Anolis sagrei: one gene and its partners. The protein of the gene in region 1 interacts with the protein of each later gene in a pairwise test. Links are inferred from orthologs where the notes say so. Each region holds a gene or a part of one and is shown on either strand. Other genes may lie near its edges. The genes, in order: protein FAM118A, ATOX1 and MOB3C.

Region 1 (10,707 bases):
GGGGAGATGGTGGTGGGGTATAAATAAATTATTATTATTATTATTATTATTATTATTATTATTATTATTACTACACAAGGAGGATAAAGGCACAGTAAATACCGTCGGCAGTGTCCGGGAGGGCTTTTGCACAATTGAGACTCGTGCGCCAACTGCAACCTTACCTCGCAAAGGCTGATCTAGCCGGGGTGGTCCATGCCTTGGTCACCTCTAGATTGGACTACTGTAATGCGCTCAACATGGGGCTGCCCTTGAAAACGGCTCGGAAATTTCAGCTAGTCCAACGGGCGGCGGCCAGGATGTTAACTGGTGCTCCTTACAGAGAGAGGTCAACCCTCCTGTTCAAGGAGCTCCATTGGCTGCCGTTCATTTTCCGGACCCAGTTCAAGGTGCAGGTGCTCACCTACAAAGCCCTAAACGGTTTGGGACCTGCCTACCTGCGTGACCGCATCTCTGTTTATGAACCTGCACGCTCCCTTCATTCATCCGGAGAGACCCTGCTCACGATCCCACCTGCGTCGCAAGAGCGGTTGGTGGGGACGAGGGACAGGGCCTTCTCTGTGGTGGCCCCCCGACTCTGGAACGCCCTCCCCAAGGACATCAGACAAGCCCCAATGTTGGCAGTCTTTAGGAAGAGCTTGAAGACCTGGCTATTCCGGTGTGCATTTCCAGAATAGGAAACACCAGCAACACATCCCAGAAGCACTTTATTAGAGATTTAAGATTGTCCGCACATGGCACTTACCCAAAAATCCTTATATTTCACTCGGCATACTCAGCACTTTTAATCTGTACCCATTATACTTGGCCCGGCCTTAGTTTTACTGTGTTATGGTGTATTGTTTTTACTGTTTACTGTCTATTGCTTTAATATTTTAATATTTTGATTTGCTTTATGGGGTATGTGTATTGTTATACTGTTGTTTTATTGAGGCCTTGGCCTTGTAAGCTGCATCGAGTCCTTCGGGAGATGTTAGCGGGGTACAAATAAAGTTAATAAATAATAAATAATAAATATAACAAGGAAGAACTGCCCGTAATTATTCTGCAACACAAATAAGCTTACTACAGATATTTTTTCTTACCGAGTTTCATGCATATTACTAACAAACTATTCACTGCCCTGGCTCAACAATATGTGTATACCTTTTGGTATGGCTATGTTATCTATCATTCCCCAGAAAATCAAAGGCAGAAATTCAACAGGGACAGATGCTGCCAGAAATACTCCGCCAGTAAAACCCTGTAATGGTGTCACTATAGGTTAGAAGCAAATTGAAGACAAACAATAGCAATTACACCAAGATATATTAACCCTGGGCCCTTCCACACAGCCACATATCCCACAATATCTGCTTTGAACTGGGTTGCAGGAGTCCACACTGCCATATATTCCAGTCCAAAGCAGAAAATGTGGGATTTTGTGAAAGGGGCTTCATATAATCAAGATCAAAGCAGAAAACCTGGGATCAGTTCCTGGGATATAAGGCCCACGGCAAGAAGATGTGAAGACCAGACTTAAAAGTCAGAGGGCAGTATTTCTCCTCTCTTTGTTATAGAAAATATATAGAATATATATGTGTGTATATATATATAGAATATATGTGTGTGTGTGTGTGTGTGTGTGTGGTCTGTTTGTTTTGAGTGACATCATAACTCAAAATCCACTTGACGAATTGCCGCCAAATTTGTACACAAGACACCTAGTAACCAAAGGAGTGACCATCACTCAAAAATTGATTTTGTAATTTGGGAGTTGTTGTTGCTGGGATTTATAGTTCACCTACAATCAAAGAGCATTTTGAACTCCACAAACAATGGAATTGAACCACACTTGGCACACAGAACTCCCATGACCAACAGAAAATATTGGAAGGGTTTGGTGGGCATTGACCTTGAGTTTTGGAGTTGTCGTTCACCTACCTCCAGAGAGTACTGTGGACTCAAACAAGGATGGATCAGGACCAAACTTGGCATGAATACTCAATATACCCAAATATAAATACTGGTGGAGTTCGGGGGAAATACACCTTGACTTTTCGGAGTTGTAGTTCCTGGGATTTATAGTTCATCTACAATCAAAGAGCAATCTCAACGCCACCAATGATAGAATTGGGCCAGATTTCCCACATAGAACCCCCTTGACTAACAGAAAATACTTTTGTTTTCTGATGGGCTTTGATGACCCTCTGACACCCCCTTACGACCCCCGAAGGGGTCCCGACCCCCAGGTTGAATAACACTGGATTAATGGGCTGCTAATTGAGAATGCTCAATGTTAAGTATTAATGTTAATGCTTAATGTTAATGGAGCCCCTGGTGGCGCAGTGGGTTAAAGCACTGAGCTGCTGAGCTTGTTGATCGAAAGGTCGCAGGTTCGATTCCGGGGAGCGGCGTGAGCTTCCGCTGTCAGCCCTAGCTTCTGCCAACCTAGCAGTTTGAAAACATGCAGATGTGAGTAGATCAATAGGTACTGCTCCGGCGGGAAGGTAACGGCGCTCCATGCAGTCATGCTGGCCACATGACCTTGGAGGTGTCTACGGACAACGCTGGCTCTTCGGCTTAGAAATGGAGATGAGCACCACACTCCAGAGTCAGACATGACTGGACTTAATGTCAAGGGACTACCTTTACCTTTACCTAATGTTAAGGTAAAGGTATGGGTAAGGAAAGGAAAGGAAAAAGGAATCGAGAAAGGAAAGGAAAGGAAAAAGGAAAGGGGAATAGAGAAAGGAAAGGAAAGGAAGGGAAAGGAAGGAGGCTCTCTGGGACCAAAGCAATGGGGTTTTTGCCTCTCCCCAAGGACGGAAAGGGCAGGAGAAGCTCAACGGACACGGCCTCCAGCTTAGCCTGAGAAATGGGTCAAATCCTGCAAAGCCTCCCTTCCTGCCTGGATTGCAGATCAGATCGAGAGCGCTGGCTCCCTTCCTTCCCTCCTTCCTTCCTTCCTTCCTTCCTTCCTTCCTTCTTCCGCCCGCCTCCCTTTACCTGGCCCCGCTGGCGGCTGCTCTTCCTCGGCCGGCTCCAGCCAGCGAGAGGACCGCAACTCCTCCTCTTCCTCCGAGGCTGGCGACAGTGTGAGAGAGAGCCTCCTGTCTGTCTCGAGGAGCCGCTGCACGCCCAAAGCATCCTCAGGTCCCAAAGCAGGCCAATTGCGCGCGCCGCTGGCCAGCCCCAGTCAAGCGGGGGTCGCTGACCAATCCGGGCAGCCGCATCTCGGAAGCTAAGCCCCGATTGGTTGGCTGCCTGGATTGTTATTCTTCTGCTCGCTTGGGTACCCGAGGATATTTGGAAGAGACCTCACTACCCAGAGGGCCCAGAGAAAGACATTACTAGCATAAGCTTTCAAAAATGTTTACACTAGAGATGTCTTTCCCTTAATCTCAAAAGTACTGCTAGACTCCTTTATATTTTTTTCTGTTCAAACTGACTGCCAGGCTATCAAATGCTAATCAAGGTGGTCACTTGAAACATTCACACCTAGCTCCAGCAGACAAGAGTCCTTTGTCCCACTCTGGTCTTTCCACAGATATATAAACCCATTTTCCTAGTTCCAACAGACCTCACAACCTCTGAGGATGCTTGCCATAGATGCAGGCGAAACGTCAGGAGACAATGCTCTAGAACAGGGGTCCTCAAACTAAGGCCCGGGGGCCAGATGCAGCCCTCCAAGGTCATTTATCCGGCCCTCGCTCAGGGTCAACCTAAGTCTGAAACGACTTGAAAGAACAACAACAACAACAATCCTATCTCATCAGCCAAAAGCAGGCCCACACTTCCCATTGAAATATTAATAAGCTTATATTTATTAAAATTGTTCTTCATGTTAATTATTGTATTGTTTTAGTGTTTTTGCATTACAAATAAGATATGTGCAGTGTGCATAGGAATTCATGCATGTTTTTTTTTTCAAATTATAATCCGGCCCTCCAACAGTTTGAGGTACAGTGACCTGGCCCTCTGTTTAAAAGGTTTGTGGACCCCTGCTCTAGAACATGGCCATATAGCCCGAAAAAACCTACAACAACCCAGTCAGTTTTTTAGTGGAACAGAATGCATAAGGTTGTGGGTCAACTACAACTCACATTGTGCCAGGTTAAGCCCGAGAAACTCCATCAGTACTTAAAGTTTGTCATTTTGGGCAAGTATGCTCTGGATGCGTCATCGGTGGTACAAAATGCTTTACTAATAATATCTATCTAAATAAAAATGTAATGTTCGTTTGTGCGATTAACAGAACTCAAAAACCACTGGATGAATTGACACCAAATTTGGACACAAGACATCTCTCAGGCCAACGAGTGACCACCACTCATAAAAACACTGAAAAACACAGCAGAAGGGACTAAAAAAGCCAAAAAAACCAAAAAAAATCATTACAACGCACTCCATGCCACACTGTACATCCTGGTGCGGTTTGGAGAAGGATGCACCATGAATGATGGGACTTGCCATACCTGCACTCCCTTTCTGAGACCATTACATCTGCCAACAATGATAGATCAGGACCATAATTCACACAGAGAGCCCACATGACCCACTCTACATCCTGGTGCGGTTTGGAAGAATTTGGATATGGATGATGGGACTTGAAGTAACTTCACTCACTTCCTGAGAGCACTGAGACCCTCGCCAATAACTGTTCAACATCCTACTGCAGTTTGGAGGAGGATGGACCATGAATGATGGGACTGTAGTGAATCATACCTTGTAGGCCGAAGCCAAAGCCTTTAGAGACAGTGAGCCGGCCTCCATCTTGGTGAGGGAAATACAAGGAAAGCCAGATCAGCAGAGGGGAAGAGTTTAGCTGCCCCAGGATTGGCTAGGACAGATGGGAGGAGCTGAAGCTGTCAGTGTAAAAGGGAGGCAGGCAGCTTCTGGAAGAGAGAGAAGTGATTGAACATCAGACAGAGAGAGAAGGGATTTTAAGGGAATTGAATTTCAAGCTGAGGGAAGAGGGTAGTTTGAGGGTGAGTGGAATATTTCCTGAGGGAGAGTGTTGGAAAGGCAGGTGTGGCTATAGAGTGGCCTGGAGAGCCAAATAGCCGCTTGTGGACTGGTGTGAGAGGAAACCACACTGGTTGTTATACACTTTAAAGATCAGAGTATTCTAGTGGGATCTAGATACGCTGAGGGAAATCGCTCACATCGAAGAACAGATACACAGTTGAGAAGTTCAGCAAGCTTGTTAAGTCTTAGTAACTGTTTAAGAAGATTGTGCTGTGCTGACCATATATGCTTTCGTAATTCAAAGAAGAATCCAGATGTTTGTTCTAATATATTTAAATAAACTTTATTCTAGTTCAACTTTACAAGAAGTCCTCACAGTGATTCATTTCATTAAGCCTGTTCCAGTAGAATTCTAACATCTTTTCGCCTCAGACACATTAGGGAGAGTTAAGGAAAGGGCTGTGGCACTCTAAGCTTTACCTCACACATAACATCAAGTTATATTCTCAAAAGCTATTTGAGTGGTGGCAGTAATATCTTAAAAAAAACACATAGAGCTTTGTGACAGGTGTCCAGTTGGAGCCTAAGAAGACAAAGTCCTTTACTCTGTTCCTTCAAATTGATACCAACGGCCAAAGGGGTCATCCAATCTAGTTTACATTGGTGACCAGATGAGAGCAATATAACAGTAGAAGGAACGGGTGCGTGTGTGTGAGCTAGGGAATACATTTGAAGCATTATTCCTTAGAGTTCCGGCCAACCGTTGCAATCTGGTGGCAAGTGGTGGGATAAAAAGGTTTTCCACCCTGCCAACGGCTGATCGGTTACTTGGTCCTTTAGAAGCATGTAGTACCATCACTCACTTACCGAAACCACTGCGACCCTAATCCAATGATTGATCAAGACCAAACTTGGCACACAGAGCCCCCATGACCCACTCTACATCCTTGTGCTGTTTGGAAGAGGATGGGCCATGGATGATGGGACTTGCAGTACCTCCACTCACTTCCAAAGACTGCTGCAATCCACATCTAATGACCGATCACAGAGCCCCTATGAGCCACTCTACATCCTGGTGCTGTTTGGAGGAGGATGGACGATGGATAATGGAACTTGCAGTACCATCACTCACTTTCCGAAAACACTGTGACTCTCATCCAATGTCTGATCAAGACCAAACTTGGCACACAGAACCCCCATGACCCACTCTACATCCTGATGCTGTTTGGAGGAGGATGGATGATGGGACTTGCAGTATCTTCACTCACTTCCTGAAACCACAGCGACACTCATCCAAATACCAATAAAGACCAAACTTGGCACAGAGAGTCCCCATGGCCAACTCAACATTCTGGTGAGGTTTGGGGGAGAACAGACTATGGATGATGGGACTTGCAGTACCTTAACTTACTTTCTGAGACCACTGTGACCCTCATCAATGACGGAACAAGACCAAACTTGGCACACAGTGTCCCCATGACCACTAATGCTTTCCAAAGTTCTTTGTCAGCACAGAGATAACATTCAGATACAATCCTTAATGGACTGGATAATGGAGAAAGGCAGGGAGTTTCAGAAAAACATCTATTTCTGCTTCATTGACTATTCTAAAGCCTTTGACTCTGTGGATCATAATAAATTGTGGCACGTTCTTGGTGGGATGGGCATACCAAGCCACCTTGTCTCTCTCCTGAGGAATCTGTACAAGGACCAAGTAGCAACAGTCAGAACTGACCACGGAACAACAGACTGGTTCAAGATTGGGAAAGGCGTATGGCAAGGCTGCATACTCTCACCCAACCTTTTTAACTTGTATGCAGAACACATCATGCAATGTGCGGGGCTTGATGAATGCAAAGCTGGGGTGAAAATTGCTGGAAGAAACATTAACAACATCAGATATGAAGATGACACCACCCTGATGGCCGAAAGCGAGGAGGAGCTGAGGAGCCTTCTAATCAAGGTGAAAGAAGAAAGCGCAAAAGCTGGGTTGCAGCTAAATGTCAAAAAAAAAAAAACCCCAAGATTATGGCAACAAGAATTATTGACAACTCAAAAATAGAGGGAGAAAATGTGGAGGCCATGACAGACTTTGTATTTCTAGGTGCAAAGATGAGTGCAGATGCAGACTGTGGCCAGGAAATCAGAAGACGCTTACTTCTTGGGAGGAGAGCAATGATCTCGATAAAATAGTAAAGAGTAGAGACATCACACTGGCAACAAAGATCCGCCTAGTCAAAGCCATGGTATTCCCTGTAGTAACCTACGGATGTGAGAGCTGGACCTTAGGGAAGGCTGAGCGAAGGAAGATCAATGCTTTTGAACTGTGGTGTTGGAGGAAAGTTCTGAGAGTGCCTTGGACTGCGAGAAGATCCAACCAGTCCATCCTCCAGGAAACAAAGCCCGACTGCTCATTGGAGGGAAGTATACTAGAGACAAAGCTGAAGTACTTTGGCCACATCATGAGGAGACAACAAAGCCTAGAGAAGACAATTATGCTGGGGAAAGTGGAAGGTAAAAGGAAGAGGGGCCGACCAAGGGCAAGATGGATGGATGGCATCCTTGAAGTGACTGGACTGACCTTGAAGGAGCTGGGGGTGGTGACGGCCGACAGGGAGCTCTGGCATGGGCTGGTCCATGAGGTCACGAAGAGTCGGAGACGACTGAACGAATGAACAACAACAACACAATCCTTAAAGGAAAATGGCGATGCAGCCGGAGCCACGACTCTTCACTGGCTAATCATTAAGCAGCACAATTAGAGAAGAATACTGACAACAAACTGATAAGTCACTGCCAAATCACTCTTATCTCAGAGGGAGTTTTGGACTTAACCAGCAACACTCCATTAATCGACCTAAAGAGAAATAAACAAAGAAAAAACAAGAAGGGTGAGAAAACAAGCTGACCTGTTTAGCCTTCTATGGCTTCCGGAAGCTGAAGCAGTATTTGTATTATAACTTGTCCTACAATCGTTGTTATGGTTTCAGCAAAGCACCATTCTACTACTGTTTCTCTACTACAGGGTGGAAGGCTGTAATTTCCTCTCCCTGCCTGCACTCCTAACCCTGTGGCTGCAGTTTAAAACAATCCTTAAAAGCTTCTATAGTTCTAACATAGTTTTGTGCTGCCTGATACAACTTAGACAATCCATGATTAATGCATTCTTTTAATGTTTTGGTCTATGGAAATTACCCTTTTAAACAAAATATACAAGATATAATAGTGTCGAGATCTGACCCAAATATTTGTTTCTTAACTTTGCATTATAAAGAAAACAACCATTTTTCACAGAATCATAGTCAATACATCACTGTTAGATTAAATTCCCTTCTTCAGCAGCTTCTTCCCTCTGAATATCTGGTTTGCTTTGATCGCTGGCCACTGTTTTGCCTTCTCCTTTCTCCCTTCGATTCTTTGAAACTTTAGTTGCAAAACCTCTATTTAAATGGAGCTGAATTATCTTTCGTTTGTTTTATTAATCCACAATATTTGTATCACACCCGGGAGCTCCGGGGAATGCTGTCAGCCGGCCATTCTCCTTGGCCATGCTGCCCTTCCCTCTTTTTCCCGCTTTGAGCCCATCTTTAAATCTCTTTTCCTGTCCACCAACGTTCCATTTTCCGTTCTTAAGTTCAGAGTAGAGCAACTGCTTTGGGAGACAGTGGTCAGGCATCCGGACAACGTGGCCGGCCCAGCGGAGTTGATGTTGGAGGACCATCGCTTCAATGCTGGTGGTCTTTGCTTCTTCCAGCACACTGACGTTTGTCCGCTTGTCTTCCCAGGAGATTTGCAGGATTTTCCGGAGGCAGCGCTGATGGAATCGTTCCAGGAGTTGCATGTGACGTCTGTAGACAGTCCACGTCTCACAGGCATAGAGCAGGGTTGGGAGGACAATAGCTTTATAGACAAGCACCTTGGTCTCCCTACGGATGTCCCGGTCCTCAAACACTCTCTGCTTCATTCTGGAAAATGCTGCACTTGCAGAGCTCAGGCGGTGTTGTATTTCGGCGTCGATGTTGACTTTGATGGAGAGGTGGCTGCCAAGGTAGCGGAAATGATCAACATTTTCTAATGTTACACCATTAAGCTGTATTCAGATCTTTATACTATAGTGAATGGATGTTGAATTGCAGCTATACACAAAGAAGACATGCAGGAAAATACCATAGACTATATGCATAGCCATAGATTGTTTCTGTTCTCAAATTTCTCTCTTCAAAGGTGCTCCACTTTATTTTTCTGACGTATGTATTTGAATTGTGCACATAGTGTGACAGAGATTGATTTTTCCTATTATGCTTACATTAAATAATCATGCCTGAAGTGGCAGCTCCATCTTGATCTTTCACCAGGAATATCCAAGGACTCCACCACTCTTTTTGGGATCTCTGAGCAGACTGTGTTAATCATAATAATTTTATTTCTTACCCGCCTCTCCCCATGGCTCGAGGCAGGTCACAACATAGTCAAAACACACACAAAAATACTATTAAAATTCTGCAAACACACATGTTGAAATGCAATTTCATAAAATATATGTATCAAAGCATTTCTGTAAAATGCACATTAATCACACAGGACAGAGACCAAAACACAGGACATGAGTTTAAAGTTCATGCTTTCAACTGGCTGCGTAGGCCTGGTGGAAGAGACAGATTTTTGGGTAGTTTTTAAATTCTGACACAGGATCTGGCTGTCGGAGCTCTTCAGGCCGGTCGGTCCACAGTCTTCGGGCGGTTGATAAAAAGGTCCAGTGGGTGACGGTAGCCAGTCGAGTTCTGGCTGGTTGGAGTAGCCCCCTCCCCCTGCCTGAGAAAAGATCTAAGTGTTTGTAGCGGATAATATGGGAGAGGGAGATCCTTTAGCTAATTGGACCCAAACCATGTAGGGCTTTAAAGGTCAAAGCCATCACCTTGTACTTTGCCCAGAAACTAATTGACAGCTAGCGGGGTGACTTTAGGATCAGTGTAATATGCTCACACCTCTATGTTCCCATAACCAATCTGGCTGCCGTGTTTTGAACCAGCTGGAGTCTTCAAACTTGGTACAAGTGTAGAGTCCATTGCAGAAGTCCAGTCTTGAAGTTACCAATGCATGAACTACCATTTTCAGTGTTGATGATACTCCTTCCTTTTTTCCAGTGTGGTGCCCAGAGTAATTTACAAAGGTTAAAATCAATACAATTTTAAAATTCTCCTCATTGAGACTATTTTTTTTTAAAAAAAACTTAACTTCCCAACTAGTGGGATAAACATCCCCAGTTTTATCTTTCCTCATCTGACAAAATATGTCCTCTTTAAGAATTTTCTAGATTTTGCAGAAGATTCTATGGAATGCCAGGCGTTGCCATAGAGCAGGCCAGCACAACATCCTGCCCATGGGCGGAATGCAGCCATCCAACAGCTTCGCTGTAGACAACAGAAGAGCCTGACCTTCCCCTTAGTTGGTTGGCTTTGTGGTTGCGTACCTTCTTTGATTATTTGACTAGTGACACTTTACAAATCAATTAGTTGATTTGACTATTAATACTTGACAAATCATCAAGAGAAAATTGTCCCTCCTCTGAGCATCTTTGATGTAAGTTAGTTGCTTCTCTAATTCAGTAATTTTCATTTCTTTTTGTTTTTACAACTTATCTTGTTGCTTAATATAGACCTGCAGTCACTCCAGGAGACAACTATTATACATTATGATTATAAGACTCAGACAGTTGGAAGCGAACCCCAAAGGCATCTAGTCCAGCCCCTTCTTTCT
Region 2 (10,542 bases), on another chromosome or scaffold:
GGAGTGTGGTGGAGGCTCCTTCTTTGGAAGCTTTTAAACAGAGGCTGGATGGCCATCTGTCAGGGGTGATTTGAATGCAATATTCCTGCTTCTTGGCAGGGGGTTGGACTGGATGGCCCATGAGGTCTCTTCCAACTCTTTGATTCTATGATTCTATGATTCTATTCTATGATTCTATATGATAGATGGTGTATTGCCCAAATTTCATTGGTTCTTCTTACTTTTCCTAAACATGACTGTGTAACAATATTTCAGATAAATTAGAGCATTTCTGATCACTTCTTTCTGTTTTTGCTTTCTATTTCACTTTTGCTTTCTTTTCTGTGTTTCCTTAAATCTTATTCCAGGTACACAAAGCAGAATTTTAAAAATAAATACATAAAATTGGACATGTTCTCAAAAAACCACCTGGCTACAAAATCTGTTTCAGAAAAAAATGCAGTATCTGAACCAGTGTCTGTAATGATGACCTGCTTATTTATATCTCCCTAGTCTTACCTCCACTAACACTTGATCTCAAGTAATTTTCACCACCATCTATTAACTAGGAAAAATCTACATTAGAAAGGTTAGTAATACTTTTGTCTTTTCCCTGTGTGAACCATGAATCACTCAGAGATTAATAAGACGTGGCAAATTCTGGATCCTTCCTAAATGGACCAATCCCAAGTGAGCTGTGTGTTGCTGTGCACTGTTGCTACAGCTTACAGAACAGCATGGGAATAAAAAGTCAGTCTTTGAATGACTAACCGGTTTTTCTTGGTACCACTAAAGACGCAATTTACAGAAGCGAAGCTGGAAATTGGCCTGGTATCCAAGCCAGACATTCAAATATGTGTTGTGGTTGGTGGAGTCAGAAATGGACATAAGGCCTCATGATGCAGAAATGTCAGCCTCCAGCCACCTTTCAAAAGGTCTAGTTCACCTCCAGTTTCAAGGCCAGCCCAAGACATTTCGTTGCTTGAGAACAAGACAGGGCTGGGTCGCTGTGAGTTTTCTGGGCTGTATGGCCATGTTCCAGAAGCATTCTTTCCTGACTTTTCACCCACATTCATGGCAGGCATCCTGAGAGGTTGTGAGGTCTGTTGGAAACTAGGCAAGGGAACTCTTGTCTGCTTGATGCATGACAAGAAGATAGGGCTTCTTCTCACTCTGCTAAGTTTTACCAGATTTTGCAAAAGTTTTTTTTTTTTTACTTCAGCTCCCAGAATCTCCCAGCCAGTATGGCCAATGGGACCTGCAGTCATGGCTGGGAGAATCTGAGTGTTGTAAGTCAACAACCCTGACTCTTACAGCAACACTGGTGATAGGGCAACATCGGACACTGCATTTGAGGGCAGCTGGCTAACTTAGGGAACACAGAAGAACTTGTTTGCTAACTATACATTAACATATAGTGCTTGAGGCAGCTGCTTCACCCTGCCTATTAGTGAGGCCAGATATGTCTAGCTTCTCTAGATGATGGTGGAGGGAGGAGAGAAATGATCAATCTTTGCATTAAGCAGTAGATGCCTCCTTACGTCTTTTTCCCCCTCTATTATTGCTCTTAAAGTCAACAGTCAAGTTCTGCAAGGGGCTCTTTTGTATTTTTTGTTCTAGAATGATAAAGGCATGTGCAAGATCTTATAGCACAGGCAAATCTTGCTCACACATGAACTCTTTTTGCCTAAAAGAAATACAGTAGAGTCTCACTTATCCAACCTTCGCTCATCCAACATTCTGTATTATCCAACACTATCTGACTCCCACCTGGATCCACAGTTGTTTCAATACACTGCAATGGGTTGGTGTTAAATTTGTAAATACAGTAATTACTACATAATGTTACCATGTATTGAACTGCTTTTTCTGTCAATTTGTTGTAAAAAAAGTTTTAGTGCTTAATTTGTAAAATCATAACGTAATTTGACGTTTAATAGGTTTTTCCTTAATCTTTCCTTATTAGCCAACATTTTTGCTTATCCAACATACTGCTGGCCGGTTTTATTGTATAAGCGAGACTTTACTGTATAGCACAGTAAGGGACCAATCCTTCGACTAATCACTGGGGCCAGAGCTTGGAGAAGTTACTTTTTTGGTTTTTTTTTGGATTCCTGCGTTCCTCCATCAGCTTGATTAACACTATTGTGGCTCGAGGAATCTGAGGTTGGGAGTCCAAAGACCCCTGATATTTCCCCAATGTTTACTGCATTTAGGCCCAGAAGGTCACTTGTGTGGGCAAACACCCTCGCTGGACTGTGGTCAGGCTTAAAGTTCATACAGCTTTTTAAGCCAGGCTACAGCTGTTTGTCTGACATAATCACTGTACTGCTGAAGTTACTTCTGAGAGATGTCTTGAAGCAAAACCTTTTATTTCTCAGGAAGGAACAAACTCTTTAACTGGCTTTGCCTTCACTGGATAGTTCTTCTGGGCCTCTGTGTGTGTGTGTGTGTGTGTGTGTGTGTGTGTGTGTGTCTTGCCAGGTCTTGAGTGATCCTCTTCATCTCTCAGGTTGCATTCAGGGGTTCCAAAAAGTCCACACAGAAGGAGACAACAAGGTCTTTGTGCACCTTAAGACATTTATCATGGCACAAACCTGACAAAGTGGGCACTGATCCACAAAAAACTAGGGCAGTATAAACATGTGAGTAACAGCCAACCATTCCCAAAACGACTTGAGCTGGCTTAATGCTGCAACTTAATCACACACACACACACACACACACACACAATATAAACCCAAAGCAAAACAAAATAATAAAACAGAAGTTAAGCTACAATTTTACAAAGGACAACTAAATACACCATTTGAACAGTCATCATTAAGGGTTTTAACAGTCATCAGGAATGGTTTTATCTTCACTATAGCGGAGCAAAACATCTCATTCCATATGCCAACAAGGGTGAGGCTCCTCTGCTTGTTGTTCCTGTGTGCGTTCCAGTTAGTGCTGACTTCTGATGACCCTAAAGCCATTATGGGGTTTCTGAGGCTGAGAGTGTGTGACTTGGCCAAGGTCACTCAATGGGTCTCGATGGCCAAGTGAGGAATCGAACCCTGGTCTCTGGAGTGGCACTCCAACACTGAAACTACTGCAACACGTTCTATATGAGTTGAATCAAAAGGGTTGCAAAACTTCTCTTCAAAACGTATGGGGTGAAATCCTAGAGAGCCTTTCTCAAACTATACAGCAGGCATGGGTAAACTTCGGCCCTCCAGGTGTTTTGGACTTCAACTCCCACAATTCCTAACAGCCTACCAATTGCCCATGCCTGCTATACATCATCCCTTTATCACATCCCTTGCAGATAGGATCTCCACTGAAACATTAGGGTGTTTGGTTGAGAACCATCTTAAACCAGTGGTTCTCAACCTGTGGGTCTCCAGGTGCTTTGGCCTACAACTCCCATAAATCCCAGCCAGTTTGCCAGCTGTTCGGATTTCTGGGAGTTGAAGGCCAAAACATCTGGGGACCCACAGGTTGAGAACCGCTGTCTTAGATCCATCTTGTGTAGTGAAAACATTCAACTGGATTGGCTTTGGGACTATATTTGAATTCTTCATTTTCCATATCAGCAGTCAGGCACTGTTATTAATAACAAGCCAATTTAACTGTCATGATTGAATGCTACAGAATCATAGAATTTGTAGTTTTGCAAGATCTATTAGAGTTCTCTGTCCACGAGTGCTGATGCCTCACCAAACTACAGCTCTTATGATTCCGTGGCACTAAGCCGTGGCAGTTAAGGTGCTGTCAAACTGCATTAATTCTGTAGTGTAGATGCATCCTGGGCCTGAGGATCTGATTTAGCAGATCTCGTTTTCTTTTGGGCAGGGAAGGGGAGGTTGTTGTAGCAATGATTGGGGGGGGGGGGAGTGGATCCCTTGCTCCATCCTTGGCTCCCCCGCTGTTGCCCTGACCCTTTTCCCGGCCCAAACCCAGCCCCTTGGAGCCGCCTTTGGAAGTCACCCACCGGCATGGCTGCTGCGGCTGCTTCCCTTCTGCCAGTCACCGGAACGGAGAAGCAGCCTCTTCCCCACCTTCCTCCGCAATAATGAAAGGCCAAGGAAGCCCCGCCCACCGCTGGCTAGCCACGCCCACTCCCCGCCTATTTCAGCCTTCGACCGCGGGAGGAGGGGGGGCTAAGAAGCGCCCTTCCTTCCTTGCGCCGCCAGGGGGAGCCATTCCGTTGGCAGGGAGTGACGCGCCACGCTATTCTCTCTGCACATGCTCAGAGGCGCGTGGGGAACATTGTACTTAAGGTGCATCGACATTTAGGACTAAACGCAGTTTGTCATCGCTTAACTGCCAGGACTTAATTGTAGGGCATCCTGGGAGTTGTCGTTTTGCATGGCCTTTCGCCTTCTCTGCCCAAGAGTGCTGGCGATTCACCAAACGACAAATCTTAAGATTCTACAGCAATTCAAGTGGTTTTTTAAAAATTGTATCAGAAGCGACTTGAGAAACTGCAAGTCGCTTCTGGTGTGAGAGAATTAACGTTGGCCAGTGGATGCCCGGATATGTTACCATCCTGTAGGAGACTTCTCTCATGTCCCCGTATGGGATAGCTGGAGCTGACAGATAGGAGCTCACTCTACACCCTGGCCTGGATGCTTTACCATTCTGTGGGAGGCTTCTCTCATGTCCCCGCATGGGAAGCTGGATCTGACAGATAGGAGCTCACTCTACACCCTGGCCTGGATGCTTTACCATTCTGTGGGAGGCTTCTCTCATGTCCTCGCATGGGAAGCTGGATCTGACAGATAGGAGCTCACTCTACACCCTGGCCTGGATGCTTTACCATTCTGTGGGAGGCTTCTCTCATGTCCCTGCATGGGAAGCTGGATCTGACAGATAGGAGCTCACTCTACACCCTGGCCTGGATGCTTTACCATATCCCCGCATGGGAAGCTGGATCTGACAGATGAGAGCTCACTCTACACCCTAGTTTGGATGTTTTACCATCCTGTGGGAGGCTTCTCTCACGTCCCCGCATGGGAAGCTGGAGCTGATGGACGGGAGCTCTTCCTGTTGCGTGAATTTGAACCTCCAACCTTCAGGTCAGCAGTCCTGCTGGCACAAGGGTTTAACCCATTGCAGCACTACGGCTCCTAATTCAGGTAGCGTCAAACTGCATTATTCTACAGTGTAGATACACTCTCAAGATACACTTGGGAGCAGTTGTGCTGCTGCACCTCTTGAGGACTAGAATCCTAGAGTTAGAAGAGACCTCATGGGCCATCTAGTCCAACCCCATTCTGCTAAGATGCAGAAAAATCGCATTCAAAGGACCCCAGACAGATGGCCCTCCAGCCTGTTTAAAAGCCTCCAAAGAAGGAGCCTCCACCACACTCGGGGGCAGGGAGTTCCACTGCTGAACAGCTCTCACAGGACGTTCTTCCTCATGTTCAGGTGGAATCTCCTTTTTTGTAGTCTGAAGCCAGGTTGTAAATGTGTATGGCTTGGGAAGAGGGGGAAAAATGGGTGAGATGAAAGCCAGTTTTAAAATGTATGCTGCACTAATATTATATAATAAAATACTGTAATATTGTATAATTAATATGGTATTCTTAAAAACTAGATAGGTCTGGCCTCTTAAAGTCAGAAAGGACTGTGCAGGTGGAAAAGAGAGCAGATAAATGAATAATGGAATCCAACTAATCAATTCTCTTCTTCTCTCATTGTAATAGAACCCAGAGCTTGGATATTTTTTAATGTAATGGCAAGTGGTGGTTGTAAGATATTGGGGGGGGGGGTGGTGGTCCATTCTGAAATGGGTGTGTGAGAGACACCCCTGTCACACAGCATTGCCAGGTGAAATGGAGGGCCGGGCTATCCCTTTGGTGGGGATTTCAGCTTGCCCCACAACAGTAACAAGCTTCCATATAAGGGCTGTGAGGCACTTAAACTGGTTGCGTGGCGGGACTTTTTATTTATTTATCTCACCAAAAATGTAAAAAGGTCAGGAAGGGTCCGGCTACCAGCCTGTGCAAAGATGCCACCAAAGAATAAAAGGTTGTTTGATTTTTCTACCACCTTTTGTGTCTTCTTAAATTGGTGGTGAGAGATTGAGGATGCTTGCCATAGATGCAGGCGAAACGTCAGGAGAAATGCCTCTAGAACATGGCTCTATAGCCCGAAAAAACCCACAAGAACCTAGATTGAGAGAGACTTTGCTTAAAAGGAAACAGTTTTATTTGTATCGTTCTTGTGACAAAAGCGTGCTGGTTTCAAAAGTATAAATGCTTATTGGTTACAAAACAGAGTTTCAACATGACTTTCCTTTAAGCCTTTCCTCTTTTCCAAAAGAACTTTTATATTAACATATGAAAACTGACTTCTAATAATCTTTTGCCTGGCATAGAGATCCTGACCACTTGGTCCTTTAAAACCTCTCTACTGTCATTAGCTTCCTGCTACCAGTCAACCACTTTAGCTTTTCCCTAGCTAGTTTTCCAGCTGCTTTCAGCAAACTACCTCACTGACTCCCGCTAACTGACTAACAACTTCACTGACTTCAGCTAACTAACCAACTGACCCTTTTCAACCTACTTTGTAATTATACATTTTGTTACAAGGGCCCTTCCAGACATGCGTTATATCCCAAATTTTCTGTTTAACCCAGATTATCTGGCATTATGGACTTGTATCCAGTTTAAAGCAGAAAACCTGGGATCAGATCCTGGGATATAGGGCCTGTCTGGAAGGGCCCTATGGGAGGAAGCAAATTGGTGCTTCTTTTAGGTTTACATGGGATGGACTAAGCTTGTGGCACTACTCAGATAAAAAGGATGGTTCCTTTTTGGATAAGAGTCAAGTTAAAGTACTCACATTGACCTGTGGACAAGTCAACCCAGATAGGTAGTCCCCAGGTTCTGTCAATTTGTTCTCAAGTTGAATTTGTATGTAAGTTGAAACAGGTACATTTTTAAGTGTAACTTCAGTCATATATACCTTAACTTATGTCTGTCTGTATCATCAAGTCACCATGGAGCCCCCCCGGTGGCGCAGTGGGTTAAACCCCTGTGCCGGCAGGACTGAAGATCGACAGTCGCAGGTTCGAATCCGGGGAGAGGCGGATGAGCTCCCTTTATCAGCTCCAGCTCGTCATGCGGGGACATGAGAGAAGCCTCCCACAAGGATGATAAAACATCAAATCATCCGGGCGTCCCCTGGGCAACGTCCTTGCAGACGGCCAATTCTCTCACGCCAGGAGTCACTCCTGACACGACCAAAAAAAAAAAAAATCAAGTCACCGTCCTGTTAGTTCTTCCTAAACTGTCTTATATGGCAGGCTGTGAACTTTCTCCCCGGTGTGTCAGAGACTGGTACCATATTCATTATAATGATTCTACAACAGGCATGAGCAAACTTCAGACCTCCAGGTGTTTTGGACTTCAACTCCCATAATTCCTAACAGCCTCTTCCTGTCTTTCCTGGAGAGCTGAAGTTTGCCCATGCCTGTTCTACAAACATCCCACACTTTTTGACAACTCAGTTTTGGATGTTCTGCTGTTTTGACCCACCTAAATTATAGCCTTGTGCAACACGTTTGGCCCCTAGTCTACTCTTCCAACCACTTCTGCTGCATTATTGGTGCATTGGTTTTATTTCTCTCTCCATTGACTTATCGCCACCTAGTGTTTAATCTTTTATTTGCTAGCTAAAATTCCTTGTAGTTCCACTTTTCAACCAATTCCATTTTCTGTCAGCGACCTGGTCCTTAATTCATCAGATAAGCAGAGCCATAATTTCCTGGAAACTCACTACAAATCATCAGCAGATGATTCATGGACTAGCACTGGTCATATCTGAGTAGTGTTGCCTTAGGACACTTAGTTAAAAGTTACAATCTACAAATGGTTTGGTTATTTATTTATTGTATCAGGAGCGAGCAAAGGGTACTGTTGTAATGTATTAAAAATGCACACAAACACACTCAAAGTTTAAAAACTTGGCATTATATTAGACATGAGAGGGGGACATGAGAGGAGCCTCCCTGCAGGATTGCAAGACATCCGGGTGTCCCCCAGGCAACTTCTACGGAGACAGCTGATTCTCTCACACCAGCAGCGACCAAAAGTGACTTGCAGCAATGGCTTGATGAGAGCATTTCATCGATCAGCTGTCCTTAAGCTGGAGTCCTGAATCTGGCCCAGCATTAGGTAGATTGAGACATCCAGCTTGCTTCCTTGATTTTGGGTGATGATGAAAAGGTAAGCAAATTCTTCCTTTTAAATGCATAATTACAGTTTTTAAGTGTTTTACTTCCAAAGAGCATTTTTGTGATTTTCTGCCTTGGATGCCACAGTAGTGTGATACTATGAATCTCCCCAGGGAAGCAAATTGTGTTGAGGTGGCCCTGGCTTATTTACCTAGGCATATGATCCGCTGAACACACTGGGAATTATTTCTGAGAAGACATACTGGTACATAAGATCAAAGCATTAAGCTCAATTTGAAATATACCTAATGGAGCATAAGGCTTGGTTAACAGAAAAGAACATACTTCCCATATACGCATATCTGTTGAACAGATATAGTTGAACAGGTTTAGTTGGATTTATTTATTGTATGTGTTAGGATGTGGATTGCAGTCAGGGCATTTCAGGTCTTAGATGTGGGAAAAAGGATAAAATTTATAGAAAAATCCACGGACCCTGGAATGGGAAGGGAGCTTGATCCTACCCTCCAAACTAGGCTGAATTCTCTAAAATGATCTGGCAGATTTGGGTTACCACCGCTACTAGGTAGTTCAGAAATTATCAATCAGAGGTTTACTGAATATTCAAGCACTGAGAAATGGGTTTTTAAAGGAATAATGAGACTACCTTCAATCTATCTTGTGCATGTTTACTTAGGAATAAACTCCACCAAATGCATGGATGGCACTTTTAAGTACCCCTTGTGCTTGCCGGAGTCTTTATATTTCAGGATGCTTGAATTTTATTGTGTGTGTGTGTGTGTGTGTGTGTGTGTCAGGAGCGACTTGAGAAACTGCAAGCTGCTTCTGATGTGAGAGAATTGGTCATCTGCCAGGGCATTGCCCAGGGGATGCCCGGGTGTTTGATGTTTTAACATCCTTGTGGCAGGCTTCTCTTATGTCCCTGCATGGGGAGCTGGAGTTGACAGAGGGAGCTCAACTCACTTTCCCCAGATTTGAACCGCTGACCTGTTGGTCAGCACTCCTGCCGGTACAAGGGTTTAACCCACTACACTACCAGGGACTCCTCCAGATGCTTAATGATAAAGGAAGAGTAATTTTTCTCTGTCTCTAAATACAAAGTTCAAATTGGTTATGAATCTCTAAATAGCTTTGGACCAGGTTATGGTGAGGGTCTCAGTGCAGGAGCCACTGTACCCCACAGCATTGTGAAGTTTACTTGCTGAAAGTATAGAGGAGGGATGTCTCTGTTGCGGCACCCACCAGGCTAAATGATCTTTCCGTTGGATAATGTCTCTGTGGGGTGCTTCCTATATAGAGTATTTTAATCACCAGCTGAAGATTTCTTCATCCATTTCCAGAGAGATAGCTATGTTAGTTTGTTTTAGTATAAAAAGGAGGAGTCTAGTGGCACCTTTTAAGGCTAGCTAATAAGCTTTTCTAGATTCCATTTTTTTTTTTGGATTCTCCAGCCCAACAATATTGGGAGGGAGTTAGTAAAAGCATATGATAAAATAAACTAGTTTGTCTTGAAGTTTTCTGCATCCTGTGCTTTGCCAGGTGTTTATTTTTCTGATCACTAACCTTGCTAGTTACCCAGGCATGTAGCCGGGGGGGGGGGGGTGGGGGGGGGGGGGGGGCTCGGGGGGCTTCAGCCCCCCCCCCAATTCTGATGGTGGTTCACGAAAAGTCCTTACTGCTGCATTATTTAAACTGTTATGTTTATTCATATCATGATCTGATCACCCTATTCAATATATCCCATATGCATGGGGGTATTGGTGTAATGATTGTATGTTAGGTTTGCTAGGCTAGACCCTCTTTCACTCAGACTCAGCCCCCACCCGAAACCCCCCCTGAAAAAAATTCAGCCTCCCCCCCCCCCCCCCCCCGAAACGAAATCCTGCTACAGGCCTGTAGTTACCCCAATGACTTCAATGAACTATTTTATTGGTTTATTGTTCTATGGATGCTCATTGTTTTATTGCATAGTTTTATTGTATGTTATGATTTCAGGCACTGTAATATTGCAGAGTGCTTTGGCATATTTGAAATGAAAACCAGCATAGAAATCTCTTCATACATTTCATACGCACATTGGGCAGCATATTGCCTTTTACAGAAGTCTAACAGACATACCATGCACCTTGACCCTATTCATTTTATAAAGATATCACACTGATTTTGATAAATTTCATTCTCAGATAACTAAATTCAGTGTAGACTTGCTTCTGATTAAATTTGTAAGGACTGGGTGACTTAGCTGAAATCCTGAAAATGGCTTAGAGTAGATATCTTTTACACACCGTATAGGATTGATTTCTGAATAAAGGTGTGTCTAGCTATGCAAGTGAAATATCTTCAGTCATTTATCTCATTCTCAGAAGAAGAAAAAACCC
Region 3 (10,816 bases), on another chromosome or scaffold:
ATAGGTGGAAAGTGTTGTGTGAGGAGTGTAGTGAAGTCCTCCCACATCATCAACCATTTTGAACTTGAATATTTATATGTCACGAACAGAATTTAAGCCAATAGTTGGAACACACCATGGTTGTACAATAAGACTTTGCTCTTAGCTTGGGGTCTGAGAGCTACTTTCTACTAAATTTGCTCCTTATTACAGTGAAGAGTTTTTGAGGGCACAGATGAAATAAAGTCATGTTCTTAGAAAGCCACATAAGCAATTCATGGTAGCTGCTGCCAACTTTATCAGTGAAATGATTGTTCCACTCTAGAACTTCAAAGGAGTTAACCAAGATGCTTAGGCTACATTAGAAATAACTTTCAGCACTTGGGCTTGTTCCTACAACCAAGAGCAAATTTGCTGCCTCAGAAGGCAAACATCACAGCAAGGATTCACCATGTGGAATTTAGAAGTGGTTCAGATATACTCAGAAGTGACAGAGAGGTAGTTTTCCAAAGCAATGTATGCAGTGGAGCAAATTCTATTTAATTAATAATATGGTTGCCATTATTTCAAGCAATTTCTGACTCAAACTCCATGTCCTGACTTTTTATGTTCATATTAGCATGAGGTTTCTTGCTTATACATTAGTTCTTGGTCAAAGGGAACAAAGTCATGGCAGAAAGTAAGGCTATGTTATTTTATTCATTCCTTTACTATCCAACTGTTCTTCTAATGCAGAATCAATTGTGGTTGCAACATGAATTAAAGCAAAATGTGATAAAACCCTGCTCAGTTATATTATTGAAGGACCATTAACCTACTATATTAAGACCAAGCACTGAATCAAAACAATTTAAAATAAACAACAAGAAAGGGAAACACTATAATTCCCCATATTAAAAGACACTTCCAGAGCAACTATGTAATGGCCCATAGCTGTCTGAATAATAGGATACTTGTACTCCAGAGAAGGGCAAGCAGGCAGAAGGCCAACCACATCATCCATGAAAGATGTTCCACAACACCCCAGCTTTGTACCTGAACAGATGCTTCTCAGTCACAGATGATCAGAATATTAAACACAGCCTCTTTCGGGACCAAAATGCACACACTGCAAGGCAATAACAGATCAGATTTGCTTGATTGCTGCTTTCCCCCAGTTAAACATCCTCGTCAGTAATAAACTTCAGCATAAAATATGCCTGGCTAGTTGCTTTTCATCAGAAACTTCCCAAACCTATTCTATTCTATTCCCCTGCATGATTCCATATAGACAGATAGACAAACACACAGATGAACCCTGGGAAGGATTTCGAAGTTCTGAAATCAAAAGATAGGAGGAACAGTCAACATCATCCTATTGATATTTCATTATTCTAGGTGTAAGAACATTATGTAAAGAAGCGGCTTTTGAGCAAAGTTTGCACATTGTCACCACAGTAATGTAATTTGATACAAAAAGAATAGCTGTGTTCATACAATGAAAACGGATTATTTCTATACTTCATTCATTGTCTTCAGTCACTTTTTTGCTCCCTCTTCTATTTTCCTTTTCTCTTTGGTGGAATGATAGCACCTAGGACGGATTGCTTGGATCAGGCAAGTTAGCTTTACATCTATGAGATTAGCTATATTGAGGGAAGAACCAGACTGTCCTGAAAACAAATAGGAGTCTTAAAGTTTAGGGCTTTGTAGATAAGATCTTGCACATTGAATTCTAGCCAGGCTGATAACTTCAGCGTCACTGGATATGTGCATGTCATGCCTTCCAGTATCAGTTAACAAGAACACAAGTGTTTCCTGCACAAGCTGTGGCTTTCTTAATTCATTCTGGGGTGGTCCTTCACAAAACACATGACAGCATCCAGTTCAAAGACATCTAAAGAGGAAAATAAGTCATTATGATGCAACTCATGATTCTTTGGTGCCCTTTCTGGTGCTGTCTCTTAAATCTGTATGACTGGTAGAATTTACTTTCAGGTCTGCTTTATCATTGTTCCCTGTAGTATTTCCCATAGTTGTCTGCTTACAAGAGCTCATGAGTAATACTTCCTCATAATTTGCTCAATCTGTGCCAAATGTGACAGCAGCAGTATTAAGTGACACCGAAAGGCTTTCCAAATTTTGCTCTTGGCAGCTTGTGTAGTAAGAGGAGATGTTTTCAGGCATTTCCTGGACAAATTGTCATGGCTGCATTAACTTGGATCTACATAGAAAGACTGGAAGTCTACCCTTTCAGATCTTTCAGTGAGTTCAACCAATATATAGGGCAGAAACAAGACAAAAACTGATTTTGGAGAAGGGATAGCTAGTTTTCTGTCCATCACAAGAAAATGAATGAGGGTTTTTTTCATATTGTATACTAGGGACCCCATGGAGAAGCACTTCTCTATTTCTGTGTTATCTAAGGAAATAAACTATTTTATGTCACTCCTGTGGATGTGCAGCTGTAGGGCATTTACCTTACAATCATTTATTTACCAGGCATATTGTTTTCTATTATTGTAAATATAGCAGGGGCTTGCACTGTATGGTCCTTATGGTTTCTTCAGATTCTGAGTCTGTAAAGCGTTTTATACTTTCTTATAGCACTTCAGTGGGGGTAATTTTTTATTTTATTTCTTTTAGCAATCCTGATATTAGGTTCTTGTGGGTTTTTTCAGGGTATAGAGCCATGTTCTAGAGGCATTTCTCCTGGCATTTCGCCTGCATCTATGGCAAGCATCCTCAGAGGTAGGATGCTCAGAGGAAAAATATCAGGAAAAATCCTGATATTTTTCATGAAGGGTGATCTATAAATACTGTAAATAAATGAATGAATGAATGAATGAATGAAATGGCTGACACTCATTGATAGATTTGCTATGTTTGTATCCTGTCCTGATAGCCAATGAGACAAATTGGTCAAGAAAGTAACCCATGGCAACTGTAATAAAGGTATAAGGTTATATAGGAAAATTGTTCTTTTCCCTGTAAACTCAAAATTGATCCAGAATAAATTTTCAGGATTTCTTAAAAAAATACTCTACTAATTTAGAGCGACAGAGGATCAGTTACTTGAGAAAAAAGTTATCTTGCAGAAGGGTACAGGTTTGTGACAAGCAGCAAACCAGCAAACTCGAGACATTAGTGTCCCTGTATGGTATCTGCTCATCCATTGCTTTAAAAAGGCAGTGAAGAATGACAAATTCTTTTGGTACACTTCTTCCTCTCTTGTGTCTCAAACTGCTTGATTTGTAGTGTCAGCATGGGCTGGTTAAGAATGCAAGTACAAGCATGGAGACCTTTTCCATGTATGTTTGTGGTTTTTGACTTCTGCTTTTTTTCTTTTAAAACAAGTGTTGTTTATTTTTTAATGTCTTGGACTAAGAAAATATCATTATGGCTGGGCAAAAGATGACAAAATTGGCTTGAATACCCCAAAGACACTGGATCTTGTCTGATCTTGGAAAGTAAGCAACATCAGATCTGGATAGTAAAAGAGATCACTAGGGAATACCAGATGCCTTAGGCTATATTTTGTTGTAAGCCACCCCTAGTCCCTTTTGGGAGAGGGGGTGAGATACAAATAAAGATTATTATTATTATTATTATTATTATTTGATACATAAAAAATAGTACACACACATTGATCACACATTGGACACTTCTCAAGTGTCTAGGTCTGTGTGATGTATTGGTGAATAATGTGTGCAGATCCTAGTAGGGTGGCCTTTTGCAGCTGACAGATGGCAATTTTGTCAGTGCCAATTATTATTAAGTACAGGCCAAGGTCTTTAGGCAATGCACCCAGTGTGCTGATCACCACTGGGAGAAGAAGCCCCCAATGGCGCAGTGGGTTATACCCCTGTGCCAGCAGGACTGAAGACTAACAGGTTGCAGGTTCAAATCTGGGGAAAGCACAGATCAGCTCCCTCTATCAGCTCCAGCTCCTTATGTGGGGACATGAGAGAAGACTCCCACAATGATGGTAACACACCAAAACATCCGGGCAGACAGCCAATTCTCTCACACCAGAAGTGACTTGCAGTTCCACAAGTCACTCCTGACAAAAAAAAAAAAGCCCACTGGGGCCACCTTGACTGGCTTGTGCCAGAGTCTTTGGCGTTCTATCTTTAAATCCTTATATCGTGTAAGCTTTTCTAGTTGCTTCTTGTCAATCATCATCATCATCATTTCAGATCAAGACAATGCCAGATCACATTTGAGTATACACTGCCTAAGAAATTCCTATGAAATTCACAGTTCGACAGATGATTTGGAAGGCACATACACATTCTCTGTTTAACCTTAGCTGGTTAACAGTGGGATGAGAAGCCCTCTTTCCTCCAAAGCATTTTCATTAACAGCAGGACACAGGGCTGAGACATCACTTCTCTCAAATTGCCCCTATGTCAATTCCCTGACTAAAACGGCCTTCATGAAATGATTCCTCTGAGTGTACTTCTGGGCAAGAGTTTGAATTATTGGCAGTAAAAAAAGCACTGTGCAGCTGTTCAATCTTTTCCACCTTAACACAATTTTGTTTGAGAGTATGTGTGGGTGGAAAGACAGGAAACATTGAACAAGTGGTGAAGAAATGTATGAGAGGGTTTCAAATAGAAGAAGAAAGATTTGTGAATATCCTCTCTAGGATATTCTGTAAAATTTCACAATAAAGGCCTCATTTGGAAGTACCCAAAAGGTGGAAACCATACTATCATATGGGGTCTGAGCTCTGCCACATGCATAATGGAGGACCTTCTTACAACAACACCAAAGGTATTCCAAGTGGCCAGCTTCTGGTAAAAGGAAATTTAGTATAATGCCAAGTTTTTAACTTTGTTTGTGGTTTTTCCTATACATTATAAATGTAATCTCATTTTGCTTCTGATGCTATATATATATAGTTTTTCTGCCTAATCTCTAACATGCCACTCCCATGACACTGTTCTCTTTTCCACCACGAAAGCAGTCCTCTTATCTTCTGAAACAGCTTAACTTTTGGTCAGAATATCTTATTGCTTTAGAGATGCACAACTGTAATTTAGAGACCTCAACGATTTATTGGAAATATGGGCAGGCAGCCTATATCTTTTGGACCTTGTTCATATCTTCTCTATTTGCCTCTTCTACTTTTTGTTCTTCTTACCCTTTTTCTGGCCTTTATAACTGCATTTTAAAAATCAAGTGAAAATATATAGGATAAAAGAGAGAAAGACAAATGTTGATTTTAAAGTAGCCGCAAAGTTGTTATAAGGGTACATTGTATTAGATATAATTCAGTGAATAGTACCGGAATGAGCCCCCGGTGGTGCAGTGGGTTAAACCGCTGAGCTGCTGAGCTTGTTGACTGAAAGCTCACAGGTTTGAATCCGGGGAGCGGCGTGAGCTTCTGCTGTCAGCCCCAGCTTCTGCCAACCTAGCAGTTCAAAAACATGCAAATGTGAGTAGATCAATAGGTACTGCTCTGGCAGGACGGTAACGATGCTCCATGCAATCATGCTGGCCACATCTGCATATCTAAGGTTGTTAATGTTTCTTCCAGCAATTTTAACCCCAACCTTGCATTCGTCAAGCCCCGCACATTTCATGATGTATTCTGCATACAAGTTGAATAGGTTGAGTGAGAGTATACAACCTTGCCGTAGGCCTTTCCCAATCTTGAACCAGTCTGTTGTTCCATGGTCAAACCCATTTAAACCATGGTTTAGACCCATTGCGCCACCGGGGGCTCCAACCATTAGTTAGAAACACTACAACGAGCTTACGGGCTAAATCCCATAACTGAAACTTGCAAAGAGTGAGAAGAAGAATGGCAGCAACCGGGATGGATTTTTAATGTTTTCGTCTGGAATTTCCCACGCGTGCAACCTGATCTCAAAGTCCGTCTTCAACTGGAGCCACGAGAAACGAAAATGTAGCGGATCTGAGCGAGTGGGGGGGCTGGGTTTGGGGAAAACCCAGCGCGGGAGTTTCCCAAGGCTGACTTTCCCAAGGCTCCTCTTCCTTCCCCAGCCTTTGGGGCGACCAAGGCAGGAGCGCCACAAGGGGAAGGTGGGAGGGAAAGCAGGCAGTGGGCGAGGAAAGGCAGCCCTCCTCCTCCCCCCCCCCCCTCTAGACCCAGTCAGGATGTGACATCACTGGTGGGGCAGAGCGAGAGAGAAGAAGGCAGGGAGTTTCTTTCATGAAAACCCCAGCGAAGGGCTTGTCTTGTGGAGCAACTTGAAGCCCTCGAGCTCCTGGTCGCGCCTTCTCAGTTCCACCTTGGCTGGAGGAACCCGGCTCTTGCACCGTTTCTACAAGGTAACAAGCTTTGATTCCTATTAGCTGGGAGTTCAAAGTGGTCGGGTTTTTTGTTTGTTTCTTTTGCCTTTTCTCCCCCAAACGGGAACGCGAAAGCGCCTCCAAACTCAGAGTAAAAGTCTTTCTGGGTTTGCTCAGCCTTGTGGTCCGGTGAACAAGATGATCCCTTTTCACGTCTTGGATTTCTCACCGTGTCACCCTTTGTGGTCTCAAAGGGGCGCGATTTGTGGTCGAGGGGCATTTTAGGCAGGCGATTGAGCTCCGGAAAGGTGTTTGCTAATATTTGTGGCGTCCACATGCTGCTGGGAATCAACAAATGACTTTTAAATCAAATGTTTACTGGGGAGAGAAAGAAAGAGAATGAGAGAGAGAGAGAAGGGAAAAAATCTAGAGGAAGTTTGCCAGCGCTATTAGGTCTTGTTGGTGTTGGGTGGCCGCCAGTTGCCACTTCGCAACCCGCCAAGGAAACTACAAACACTCAGTGTCCGATCATGCTTGTAGTAGGATTGAATCATCTCATAATTGGGTGTACTGAAGGCTGAAGCCTCAATGTTTGCGACAGATTATAATCCCCAGTTAGAATTATACTCAAGGGAGAGGAGTGTGAGTTCCAATTCCCTGATACCAGAACGTTGAAAAATTACTTTTTTGAAATTCTACAATACATACATATGCTTCCATTCTGACCACTGGCCCTGTCAGCTGTAAGACTGTGGAACTTGTTGCCTCTTACAAGGAACTTTCCCAGGCTCTGCCTAATGATGTTCAAAGTTTCCAAACCATTTAAAAGAGAACTGATGACTTACTAAAGTTGTGACAAATCCTCCCGATCAAGACACACATTGTTTTTGAGTAGGTGTACATAGGTTGTACTAAAGCAGAACTGATTATATGCAGGACATAGTTTGCAGCCTGCCCTGAAGCATTGTCAATGGACTATTTCAATAAAGCACTCGTAATCCTCAGGGACTGGGGCGACCAATATGATCTTGTCTTCTAACATATCTGAGAATTTAGACCAATCTGCCTTTCTGAGGCCTCATAGTTGGGAACAATTGGCATACTATCAACCAATGCTGTGTGTTTTGCATTGGTAGTCCCACTGCACAATGCTGTCACTCACACATAAGACAAATAAGACATCTCCCACTGTTGTAGGATGGTGGGAGCTTACTATCATGAATAGTTTGTGCAATCGTTTGTGCAGTTCAGCCAAAGAGAGGGCAGCCTCTCCATTTTTATCCTCCTGAGCATAGCCCCATACATGGCTATGGCTGTTAAAGTCACCAGTTGTTACTGCCCTTTGGTGCCTATCAAAGTTCTCAGGAGAGAAGAAACAAAACTCTTCATTTGGGGGCTTGTACATAGAGGTAATCATAATATTATTAAGATCTACTGTTATAACCTCTGTATTGTTTTCTTCAGTGTTATGGGCACTGCTGACGTGGAGGCCTGGTTTTACAAAGACAGAACTTCCATATTGCGCATGTAGTCTTTACATCACTAAGGTCATTCCTGGAACTTTTGGTCATTTCTGTTGTTTATCCCTATGTGTTTCTTGGACACACAGCACGTCACATTTCTTATCTCTGAACAGTTGTAAAGCAGTTGTTCTTTGGCAGCTGACATACCTTTGATGTTGATTGAGATTATTGTCATAGTTGGTCCTGAAAAGGTCAATTGGTTTGTTTGGTTGCATGCTGCAAGTTGCTTCTGGTGTGAGGGAATCAGGTGTCTATAAAGATGTTGCCCAGGGGATGCCCAGATGTGTTACAATCCAACAGGGAGGCTTTTCTCATGTCCTCCATTGACAATGATGAAGTAGCTTCCTGCTTTTTCATTTGGGCTACTTCAGTTGAGCCAGGGTTTCTTTATCCAGGGCATACCCTTTCCACATACTAACTTTATGACTCAAGAATCCAGCATGGTTTAATGCAGTGGTTCTCAACCTGTGAGTCCTCAGGTGTTTTGGCCTATAAGTCCCAGAAATCCCAGCCAGTTGGGATTTCTGGGAGTTGAAGGCCAAAACATCTGGGGAACCACTGGTTTAGAGGTTTGAGTATTGGAAGCTCTGAAGACCAAGGTTTGAATTCCCACTCAGACATGAAAGCCTCTGGCCTCTGGCCAGTCTCACTTGTTCAACTTCAGAGAAAGGCAGTGACAAATGTCTTCTGAACAAATCTGGCCAAGAAAATGCTATGACGAGGTTGTCTTCACACTGCAATAAGTCAGAAATGACTTGAAGGCACATAATAAAGGTTACAGAGACGTGTCATGGACCATGTGCAGAATGTCTTAACTAGAGGAAGCACAGCCTAGACCTCTCTATTATATCCATTATATCAATAGCAAGCCGTGGAGGCCGTGACAGACTTTGTATTTCTAGGTGCAAAGATTACTGCAGATGCAGACTGTGGCCAGGAAATCAGAAGACGCTTACTTCTTGGGAGGAGAGCAATGTCCAGTCTCGATAAAATAGTAAAGAGTAGAGACATCAGACTGGCAACAAAGATCCGCCTAGTCAAAGCCATGGTATTCCCTGTAGTCACCTACGGATGTGAGAGCTGGACCTTAGGGAAGGCTGAGCGAAGGAAGATCGATGCTTTTGAGCTGTGGTGTTGGAGGAAAGTTCTGAGAGTGCCTTGGACTGCGAGAAGATCCAACCAGTCCATCCTCCAGGAAATAAAGCCCGACTGCTCACTGGAGGGAAAGATACTAGAGACAAAGCTGAAGTACTTTGGCCACATCATGAGGAGACAGGAAAGCCTAGAGAAGACAATTATGCTGGGGAAAGTGGAAGGCAAAAGGAAGAGGGGCCGACCAAGGGCAAGATGGATGGATGGCATCCTTGAAGTGACTGGACTGACCTTGAGGGAGCTGGGGGTGGTAACGGCCGACAGGGAGCTCTGGCGTAGGCTGGTCCATGAGGTCACGAAGAGTCGGAGACGACTGAACGAATGAACACATCAATAGCAAGAGCTCCTTGGGCAAAGAGCATCTTACTAGGCAGGTTTCAGTTCCTTCATTGAGACATACAGAGGATTATCCAGGTTGAGTAGAAGAGGGCCATTAAGAGCTGAGTGTGAATCACAGCAGAGTTTGTTTACCACTGCTTGGCACTCTTTCAAAGGAGGATTTCTTTGTGTTAGTTTGTTGCCTGTCATCTTATAATACTTTACCTTGGAATAATTCTTGAAGCAGGCTGATGCATTGTTAATTAATTGTGTGTGTGTGTGTGTCCTGAAACATGCTGTTTGAATTGCCTGTCTCCCTAAACTGATACTGCCCAAACCGACCTTTTAAATGTGAACCCTATGGGGTACTTTGCCAAGGGGAAGGGAGCCACGGTAATTTCCAAATAACTGCTCACTACAAATGATTTTATATGCTATGGGTCACATCTCTTGCTGCAGCTTGTTAAAAGCACAAGTTGTCATTAATAATCCTTATAGCATTTTTCAGTGCAGAAAGTGCTTTGCAGTTCTTCTTTCGCACAACCATGCAAATAAATTCAGTGAGTTTACTGCCAGATAATGTATAGGAGAAGAATTAGAAGTATGGGAAATAAACTTGAGTCTTCTCACCTCCAAACCCACACATTAGCCATACCAGGGATCAAAGACTTTAATATACACATTGCTATACTCATATAGTTTGCCACACATCCCTGCAACAATAGTAGTAGTTTCTGTTTGTGTGTTATCCTAGTTAGGTAACTTTACATAGGCAAGAGCAGGGCCATTGTGCAAGTCTAAACTCATCCCTCAGCCAACACTGATCATCATTGTAAAACTAGTGCAAATATTTGTCAACAGCAAGATTTGGGCTAGAGATGGGAAGGGTCATGAATACCTTCTCCACCCGCAAGCACTTCATTGTCACCAACTGCTCCATGGATCTTCATGAAATATAGCACGAAGGCCTAAAAACAGATCTGGAAGCAATTTGGATGAACTTGTTAATGCAGCTCCAGCCAAAGGACTCAGTTATAACTGCAAGATCATTTATTTTTAATGCATTTGCAAGCCTATCTTCAGATCTTTACACCAAGTGATCTGAGATAGAGACAAGACTGTTTGAATTGGGGTATATGTGTGTCCTTTGCTTATTGTAATGTTCTAGCTTATTGCCTAAAGAAGGCTTAATTTGGGGGTCCTGCTTGTACAGGGTTCTCAATAACACAGAAAATAACCCATATGAGTTATCTTTTCCTAAGTAAAAATGCAGGCTTATCATATGAATTTGGGGGGGGGGGGGGGGCAGAGAGCCATGCAATGTCATGAGTGGCACAAATAATACAACTAGCTGCAATTTTAAAGCATAGAGAGACCCTCTGCATGAATAACATGTGAAGGGGATTGTTATGTTTGGGTACTAAATCTAAAGCACATGACTGATTTTAGTAAATATGGTCTTGGACCAATCCTTGGTCACTGGACCAATCAACTTGTGTGGGGAGGTGCCCATGGCTTTCCTTTGGGACTCAATTCCATCGAATGCAGTGGTTCCCAACCTGTGGGTCTCCAGGTGTTTTGCCCTACAATGCCCAGAAGTC

Evidence for each region.
Region 2: the proteins of protein FAM118A (region 1) and ATOX1 interact in binary tests that used the Homo sapiens proteins (3 or more experiments, as listed by UniProt). The two-hybrid records come from large-scale screens. The link is inferred for Anolis sagrei from reciprocal best matches to the Homo sapiens genes FAM118A and ATOX1.
Region 3: the proteins of protein FAM118A (region 1) and MOB3C interact in binary tests that used the Homo sapiens proteins (3 or more experiments, as listed by UniProt). The link is inferred for Anolis sagrei from reciprocal best matches to the Homo sapiens genes FAM118A and MOB3C.

What each region holds. Positions count from the first base shown.
Region 1 is NC_090025.1:100,453,717-100,464,423, reverse strand, and holds the start of protein FAM118A, read right to left. Parts: upstream 4,753-10,707; 5' UTR 4,708-4,752; intron 3,142-4,707; exon of another isoform or gene 3,130-3,141; coding exon of another isoform or gene 2,989-3,129; intron 1-2,988.
Region 2 is NC_090022.1:84,268,911-84,279,452, reverse strand, and holds the start of ATOX1 (copper transport protein ATOX1), read right to left. Parts: upstream 4,074-10,542; 5' UTR 3,959-4,073; coding exon 3,953-3,958; intron 1-3,952. UniProt on the Homo sapiens protein: Binds and deliver cytosolic copper to the copper ATPase proteins. May be important in cellular antioxidant defense.
Region 3 is NC_090024.1:177,748,563-177,759,378, forward strand, and holds the start of MOB3C (MOB kinase activator 3C), read left to right. Parts: upstream 1-6,073; 5' UTR 6,074-6,261; intron 6,262-10,816. UniProt on the Homo sapiens protein: May regulate the activity of kinases.